Bombyx mori: one gene and its partner. Each later gene encodes a partner of the first gene's protein in a complex. Links are inferred from orthologs where the notes say so. Each region holds a gene or a part of one and is shown in the gene's direction. Other genes may lie near its edges.

Region 1 (4,262 bases):
GTCAATAGATGTCGCATTTAGATGATTATTAACCGTCAATTATTTCGCTTTGTAGTTTTGGCGTTAAGCAGCGGTAGGCAGCGACTTGGCTCTGCCCCTGGCATTGTTGAAGCCCATGGGCGACGGTAACCACTCACCATCAGGTGGGCCGTATGCTCGTCTGCCTACAAGGGCAATAAAAAAAAAGCAGTAGGCAACAATCAAACTGGTATACATAATTTAATATATACTATCTAAACGGAAACATAATATGAATCAGGGCCCATGGGCAATACTTCTTGTGGCAGCACCGTTGAAAGACGACCGCCCCATTTAAACAAGCGCAGCGATCCTTCATAACCACTCTCGATGCTTTTAGGCATCACAAGCATCGGTCAACTTATTCGTTGAACCCGTTCAAGCGATGAAGGGCTCGGCGAGTAAATTAACTCACAGACACAGCGCACTGAGTTTCTCGCCGGAATTTCTCAGTGGGTTGCGATTCCGATCTGGTGTAGATTCAGCCAAGCAGTGTCCTGGTTAAGGCTAATGTTTGCAAATTATTCAGGCTGACCACCATGAGCTCGTTCTACACGTAGCCATAAGTAGGTCAAAAAAAAGGACGAGTACGACATCAAACACGCAACAACCAATACCTCAATTCCGTCCACCCCAGTGCTACACCGCTCAGCGTTGAGTGCATCTCAACATGCTCTAACACCATCACACACAAATGTATGTACTGTCTGGTGTTTTTAAATGCGTACAAAAATATTTCTGTCAATACAACACATCAGAGAAAACTATAATAGACTCAAATCTATTTTTTGTGATGTAGGGATAGCTGGCGGTCCCAAGGTCTTTCTAGTTTCAATAGCTAAAACGGCTAAATGAGTACGAAATAGTCTTGGGAGCTTCAAAATACACAACGAGAACACTCTTTTTAATTAGGAAAATACATTATTTTACTCTTAAATTAAAATACAAAACAATTTTTTTAAACTTGTAATATTTTTCTATTCGTTTCATTTCACCATTTATACTGATAGCTGACAAGATTTTTCATAAAATGATCCTGTATAGGCTAAGACCCTTTCGCCTGTTTCGTGAGATAAATAAAATATAACACTGTCGGCCATATTGAAAATTTTAGTAAATCGGGAATTATCGTCTGCAATGGATTCTTACTTTTCTAAATCAATTTGTGAACATACGTCTGTTGGGGCTTCGCCAATATTATGTCATTTGTTCATTGTTTTTCAATCCGACCGTGATAATTGCAGAAAATCGTCTTCAGTTTGACGAATTACACTCGAGTTTTGTTGTTGTCTAGAAAACGACGACTCTGGAGACATCTTGTGAGTGATAAGTCACTGTCGATAGTTGTCCGATTTTGGTGTTCAGGTGAAAAGTTTTCATATTAATTCAGCTGCTGATTCTGGAGTCCTAAAAATGGACGTGTCATGGGGTACGTACTGTTTAATACAATAACAAAATAGATTTTATAAATATCTACATTCGTAATGTCAATCGTGGTACATTCCAGACGCAGATAACTTCGAGCCCAAACTCCCGACCACGTTGGCAGCTTCCAACAAATGGGAAGGGGAAGACGAGGATGATAACGTAAAGGTAATCATTGGTGTGCCAAGTAGTTTGTATACAGTGTTCTAACTTCTAAATGTATTACGAATCTTCTCAAAACAGTACATAACCTAAATGACTGCCTACGTGTTGACGTCAGACTTTATTCGCAGGAAAGCTGGGAGGATGAGGAGGAGGAAAAGAAAGACGAAGAAAAGACTGAGGCAGCGCCACCTCCACAACCGAAACCTAAAAAGAAAATACACGATAAAATAGCCGAAAGAGAGGTATAGTGCTTTTAAAACATATGTTTAATGATTTAGAGATTTTATAGTCTAAACTCTACTAGAATAGCTTCTAGTTTATAGAATAGATAATTATAATTATATGGTAACATAAATTACTACCCATTTAGTGGTATTTTAACACATGAACTTAATAGTTTTGTTACACATAAACTTGGTAATGTTGAGCATTGTTGAAGCCAATTGCATCCTCTATTAACCAAAAGTTGTCTAAAAATAATTTTAAAACATTTAATTGCATTGTATACATACCAAAAATAGAAATAAGATTTGAAGGAAAAATAATATATGTAGTCTATTGTAAAATTTAAGACTTAATATATAGACACTGATATTTATTGCCTGCTTCGCCATGATCATCCATCTAGTGGAATAGATAAAATATGCACTCCATTTGAAATCAGTTTAAATGTTCTTTTTTTTATAATACCAATCACTGGCAAATTATCTTAATTATCATCTTCTTCTTTGTTCTTTCTCTCTCTGCTGGGGTGTAGGGCTCGAATCATATTCTTTCGTTTGCAGTCAATGGTATTTTTTTAATTAATAGTGAAGAAAAAACTGATAAATAAAAAAAACTAAATCTGTTGACAAACAGAAGAGAAAATTTTATTTAGCTTTTTATTGTACCCATCTATGTATAAATTAGATTCACATAATCATTAGATACCTATCGAGTTTAACATTAGCCAGTGTTTGTCTAAAATTTGTTTTGCAAAAGTCATTGACGCTTATTTATATAAAATTCGTGGAGATAACTTATTATATTATGAAATTACAGTAACTGTATGTACTGCTCTGATGCAAATTTCAACTATAAATATTTACACAAAAAATAATTAAAAAGGACAAGTTAAATACAAATAATTTATAATAAATATCAAGGTTCCAGTATGCATAAAGAAGGTTAACAAGATAGATTACTCATGGATTATCATCACCTTGCAATTAATATTAAATTCATTTGACAGCATAAAATATCAGAATAATAATTAAAATATATTAAGAACCCATTAATTATTAATATTTAAAAAACAACAGAAAAGAAATCTGGTGCTAGTGAGGGTGTTCCTGTTAGGTAACATAAAAAGTGGAATTTAAAAATAACATTTTGCTAGCAATTGTTCACTCAGTAATGATAGCTGACGATCCCACTCAGTCATCATATATCATCTTCCTTGACATATTGTGTGTCAACATCTGGTTATGACTGATTATGTGCTCAAATATGGTTAGGGAAGCCACATTTTGTCTTGAAGGGTCTGTTGCAGGGTGCACAATACAACAGCCCATCAGCATTCTACATAAAGTATAGGAGGAAGGCCAAATTTTGTATACACTTTTTTTTTTCAAATCTTGAGACAGCTTTGTGAGCATATCTGTATCATTCTGGACTCCGTTGTGTGCGATATTAGACACAGTTGGATGACATTCTAAAACATCCCCTGTAACATTAGCATTGCCCTCCAGGTGCTCACTGTTCATAATTCAGCTGTTAGTAAAAGACAAATCTAGGAAACTTAGAGTCATCCACACTTGTTGGAAGTGCTTCAATACTATTTACCTTCATCCTCAATATCTCAGTTTGAGACTTGATCTTGCCGCTTTATGCAAAGTATGGATGTTACACACTTTATGTTGATGGTGTTGCTTGATATCACCTCTGTAGTCCTGGTGGCATAAAGCGTATTGCTTTATTACCTTATATACAGCGATCATTGTGTGCAGACAAAGGTCATGTGAGGCCCTGACTCTTTTGCACAGCATTCAACACCCTTTGCAATTCATGAGGAATTTGTATTAAAATTTTGTATAGGGTATGACAATATTAAGTTAAAGGTTAACTTACATCATGTTTGGGATAATAACCAAATCTAAAATACGATAATTCACCAGAAAAATGAACATAGTTTCATAACTTCATAGAATTGACAGGCTATAGTTGCTCTTGAATTGATATAATATCCATAATATTTAAATTATAAAATTTTACTAGCGACAAGAACGTGAGAAGGCTGAACGTCTCGTGACAGAGAAGACTGCAGAAGAAATGACTCCAGAGCAGAAGTTGGCTGAGAAACTTCGCCAGCAGAAGCTACAGGAAGAATCAGATTTGCGACTAGCCATGGAAACCTTTGGTATGCTTGATTGATTTGGTGTGCTCGTATTACAGTTTGTGGATTCCAAAATAAGATTCATTTTAAGCAATAATTAGTAGACATTCTAAAAGAGGGTTTATAATCCCTAATATAATGAAGTTGTTGTGGCCTAATGGATAAGATGTCCGGTGCATTCGTGTTGAGCGATGTACCGATGTTCGAATCTCAGGCGGGTACCAATTTTTCTAATGAAATACGTACTCAGCAAATGTTCACGACTGATTTCCACAGTGAA
Region 2 (4,333 bases), on another chromosome or scaffold:
TACGCGCTTGGTAATTATTATGCTGCGATGTTATTTTAAAACTGCGATATCTTCTCATACTCATTAAAATCAAATGAGGGGAAATTTCTTTAAAATTAATTGTAATGAATAACGTAATTGTTTGGACAGGGATTAATATCATCTTCATAAAATTTGGTTAGTATAAAAAACGTTATAGTGAGCAAACATAAAAATATAGATCCGTCGTAGTAGAAAAGGTTTTTTAGAACTTTATAGGAGAACAATTTGGTCATACATTGTTTTAGCGAAACTTTAACCGTTTCCACAGCGCACGCAGCAGAAGCTTTCAAAACAGAAAAATACCCTCATTTTGAAATGTTTCAAATTTTCTTTATTGGTGCTCCGCTTGTAGTGGTCTTAGCATGATGTTATATAGCCTCTATATAGTATTTCTGAATGAATGAGCTATATAAAACTAAAATATTTTTTCAAATCGGACCAGTAGTTCCTGAGATTAACGCGTTCAATCAAATAAACAAACAATCTATTGTTCTTAATTTTCACGTCATTTCAGATCCTCCCAATCCACTAACGGTGCTTTTAGGTATCCCAAGCACCAGTCATCGTTCTCGTCGAATGACGGATGGCTCGGCTAGTAAATTAACCTAAAGACACAGCCCACTGAGTTTCTCGCTGGATATTTTCAGTGGATCGCGTTTCCGATCCGGTGATAGATTCTGCGAAGCACGGTTCTTACTGGGGTTCGTGTTAGCAACAACGTCAAATTTGAGCCCCGTGCGCTCACCCTGATATGGTATCTCAAGACCATCAGCTTAGGTAGGAAAACAAAAAAAAACAATCTTAAGTTTTATCGATGTTGTTCATAATATGGACGATAAAGTGCTCTTTATGTGTTTGAAAAAGTGTCCGTCTAAAACCGACTAATTTGTGTGCAATCATAGCAAGTGGCTTAACTTCGAAAATAGCGTTAAAGCTATTGATACATTTTTCAAGTCAGCACACTTCACTTCGTTTGCAACTGCGAAATTCATATCATACCACTGGCTACGCGTACGCACTTTTTTTACTGGGTTTTTAAGTTGTGATTTGCTGCTTATGGCTGAAATTTTTTTGAACTTGTCCTCCATGTCCTTGGGTCTTCCTATGATTGTTCGCAAGCATAGAACCCAACCGATTAATTAAATACTTAAATTAACCAACTTCAGATCATTCACTATAATTAAACAGTGTAAAAAAAGAAATAACACTTTGCTTAAAGATCTTGCTAACATGCCATAAATCTTCAAAAAAAAAAAAGCTGTGCACATTGAACATAATGTGTATTGTCTATGGTTGGCTTCGGCCTTATTGAAATTTTTATTTCAGGAAGAAATTATAAAGGACTTGGCTTCGACCTTAATGAAATTTTTATTTCAGGATATAATATAAAACACACAAGACCTGCCTTCGGCTTTTTTGAAAATTTATTTCAGAAATTATATAGAGCAGATGAGGCTGTATGACCTTAGATCTCCTTGTCTTTCCTAATAAGGAAAAACTGTACCAAAAAAAAATGTCTATGATTGGATAGGAGAACGTATACGAAATTGCGAATGGCTGAATAGGTTATTCTCAAATTAAATACTCGTTCAGACGCATAAACTCTAACGTATGAATACTGTTAGATTCTATTAACAACCATGTATTCCAGCGACGATTATAATGAGGTATCTATATTTTTCAATATTAAAATATACAGTAAAAATTCAACCTATGGCCAACATTGGACGTCTGTGGAATGCTGATATTGATGGCTCACCAACATTACCACATATCCTGGTAAATATGTAAATAAGTATATACACAATATTATAAATATATATTTGTGTTATTCCAGGGAGGTTACGAATCCTATGGCGACTATGAAGCACAGTCCACAGAACACTACGAGCCGGAATATGACAGGTCTTCTTATTATAAAATGCCTGACATGGTAAGTTCTCATCTCATATTTAAGTACTATATCATAACATAACGTTATAAAAATACCATATTTTGATGCTATGGTTTGCAAACATGGAATAGTTTATGAATGCATCATATTATAGAATGGTTTTTAAACGATATAGAGATTCATTGATGATTACTACTGACATTTTATAAAACAGAAACCTAGTCATGTAACAGTCATAATACACAAAATATCTAAATTTTTACATAATTTGAACTGTACCTACGTTTTATTTTGATGGTAATATTTCATAAGCTATCTGTGAAATAGTAACAAATTATGTATCAAGTTTCCATCTAGTTATTTCATAAGGTAAAAGGAGAATGACCAAAAGTCGTCTAGCAAAGTTGCATGTTGCAGAATCAAAATAACATCGAAATAGTTTTCTCATTTTTTACAACCATTTTCACTACAGAAATGTTTTGTACAGGACTGGAATTATGATTTTAAGATTAATAGTAAATGAACAATTGTTCGCATCATTTCCGTATTAAAGTCATGAGATGACGTTTCGTTCTCTCTATTTAGACAGATTACTCATGCATGAGTTTTTAGACTCAATTATCACAAAAATGATATCAAAGTCTTGGACAGTTAAATAACTGGGTATATTATATTCTTATATTATATTTTACAACACATTGAATTATGATTTTATCATTAAGTGAAAATAATAATTTTTTTGTGTTCCGTTTCACGCAGACCCAACTGTCAAGCTTATGATATTGTCGATAGACGAGCCGGCGCGGCGGCTGCAACCCAGCAAGTGGCCATACGTTTTTATGTACCTAAACCTAAAAGTGTTTTATTACGCCAGGACGTTTATATGTTTTGTTTATGAACTCTTGAGTCTTCTGTAATTCTATAATCATGTTGATGCTTGAGCCTCTGATAATGAGGAGAAGTCGGTGTGTGAAAACTATGATTAATATGTTTTGTTTGTGGGCCTAACATTATTTATAGGTTATGTCCGTTTTGGTCTAATTACTTGAAAACCCGGTTAATTATGATTATGGGGAAGCGAACACTTTTATTCCATAATAAACTACTCAAAACAAAATAGGGCCCACCATGTTTTTTAAATGAATTTTACAGATTATTTTTCTTTTTTCAGTTTTTATGATTAGGAATGAATAAATTAAGTTTTTTGAAAGTGTGTAAACATTAACAACAGTAAGTTTAGCCAATTTTATGGAATTTAGTCAAAATTTACAGTTTTTAGAAAAGTTGACAGAAATTTTTGATTTAAGTAAAGTTTGATTTTGATTTTTATTATTGACTTAATCAATGAGTTTGATGGTGCTTAATAGCGAGTAGGTCCTCCTCTGTTCCGTATGCACTCTCTGACCCTATCTGGGACGCTTTCAATCAAGTGGGTGATGTTTTCCTCGGGTATTCGCCCCCAACACAATTTTAGGGCGTTTATGAGCTCTTGTCGATTAGTCACATTACTGAAGTTCGATTTGAGACTTCTTTTCAGTTGGTCCCATAAATGTTCAATGGAGTTAAGATCGGAACTCATGGCCGGCCACGGTAAAACCGTAATATTGGCCTCAGAGAAAGCTCTCTGGGTTGTTCGCGCTTTATGTGAGCGAGCATTGTCTTGCATAAAGACGAAGTTTTCACCTACTCTTGGTGAAAATGGGATGACATGGGGCCGAATTATTCGATCGACATGCCGGGAGGCAGCTATGGGGCCTTCTTCCAGAATTACCAGCTCAGCTTTACCGAGCAAGCTTATTCCAGCCCACACCATAACATTTGGACCTCCAAAACGATCCCTTTCACGTATGCAAGGTTCTGAAAAACGTTCTCCTTCTCTTCTCCACACGCGCACTCGACGATCATCGCAGAAAAACTTCACTTTACTTTCGTCCGTAAAGAGTACATTTCTCCAGTTGTCCGTTGTCCACTCCGCGTGCTCGCGAGCAAACCTCAAACGCGCTGCACGATGCGCTCTTGTCAATATTAGACGAATAACATGAGATCTGGAATGTTGTCCGTCTTCATGGAGCTGATTTCGAACGGTTTGATCACCAATTCGTGTACCAGTCGATTGCCGCAGTCGATTTTGTAAGACGCGGGCGAAAATCGTACGCTCTCGACGTGCAGTCAATCCGATATACCGGTCTTCCTGAACGGTTGTAGCTCGGGCTCTTCCTGATCCAGATCTCCTCGTGACACTACCTGTCTCTAGAAAGCGTTCCCACGCGTTTCGAATAGCTCGTCGCGACACACCACGACGTCTTGCCACTGATCTCTGAGATTCTCCCTCCTGAAGCATAAACACTGCTCTTGTTGCTGTTTCCACATCCATATGACGCCGAGAGCCAGGCATAATGATCGCGAGTAACACCGAAA

The links.
Region 2: eukaryotic translation initiation factor 3 subunit J (region 1) and eukaryotic translation initiation factor 3 subunit L share a complex: the UniProt entries of both Drosophila melanogaster proteins name them as parts of the eukaryotic translation initiation factor 3 (eIF-3) complex. The link is inferred for Bombyx mori from reciprocal best matches to the Drosophila melanogaster genes eIF3j and eIF3l.

The regions. Positions count from the first base shown.
Region 1 is NC_085125.1:12,537,591-12,541,852, forward strand, and holds the start of eukaryotic translation initiation factor 3 subunit J, read left to right. Parts: upstream 1-1,332; 5' UTR 1,333-1,431; coding exon 1,432-1,447; intron 1,448-1,525; coding exon 1,526-1,611; intron 1,612-1,736; coding exon 1,737-1,850; intron 1,851-3,864; coding exon 3,865-4,006; intron 4,007-4,262. UniProt on the Drosophila melanogaster protein: Component of the eukaryotic translation initiation factor 3 (eIF-3) complex, which is involved in protein synthesis of a specialized repertoire of mRNAs and, together with other initiation factors, stimulates binding of mRNA and methionyl-tRNAi to the 40S ribosome.
Region 2 is NC_085117.1:14,771,417-14,775,749, reverse strand, and holds the start of eukaryotic translation initiation factor 3 subunit L, read left to right. Parts: upstream 1-1,473; 5' UTR 1,474-1,661; coding exon 1,662-1,688; intron 1,689-1,858; coding exon 1,859-1,954; intron 1,955-4,333. UniProt on the Drosophila melanogaster protein: Component of the eukaryotic translation initiation factor 3 (eIF-3) complex, which is involved in protein synthesis of a specialized repertoire of mRNAs and, together with other initiation factors, stimulates binding of mRNA and methionyl-tRNAi to the 40S ribosome.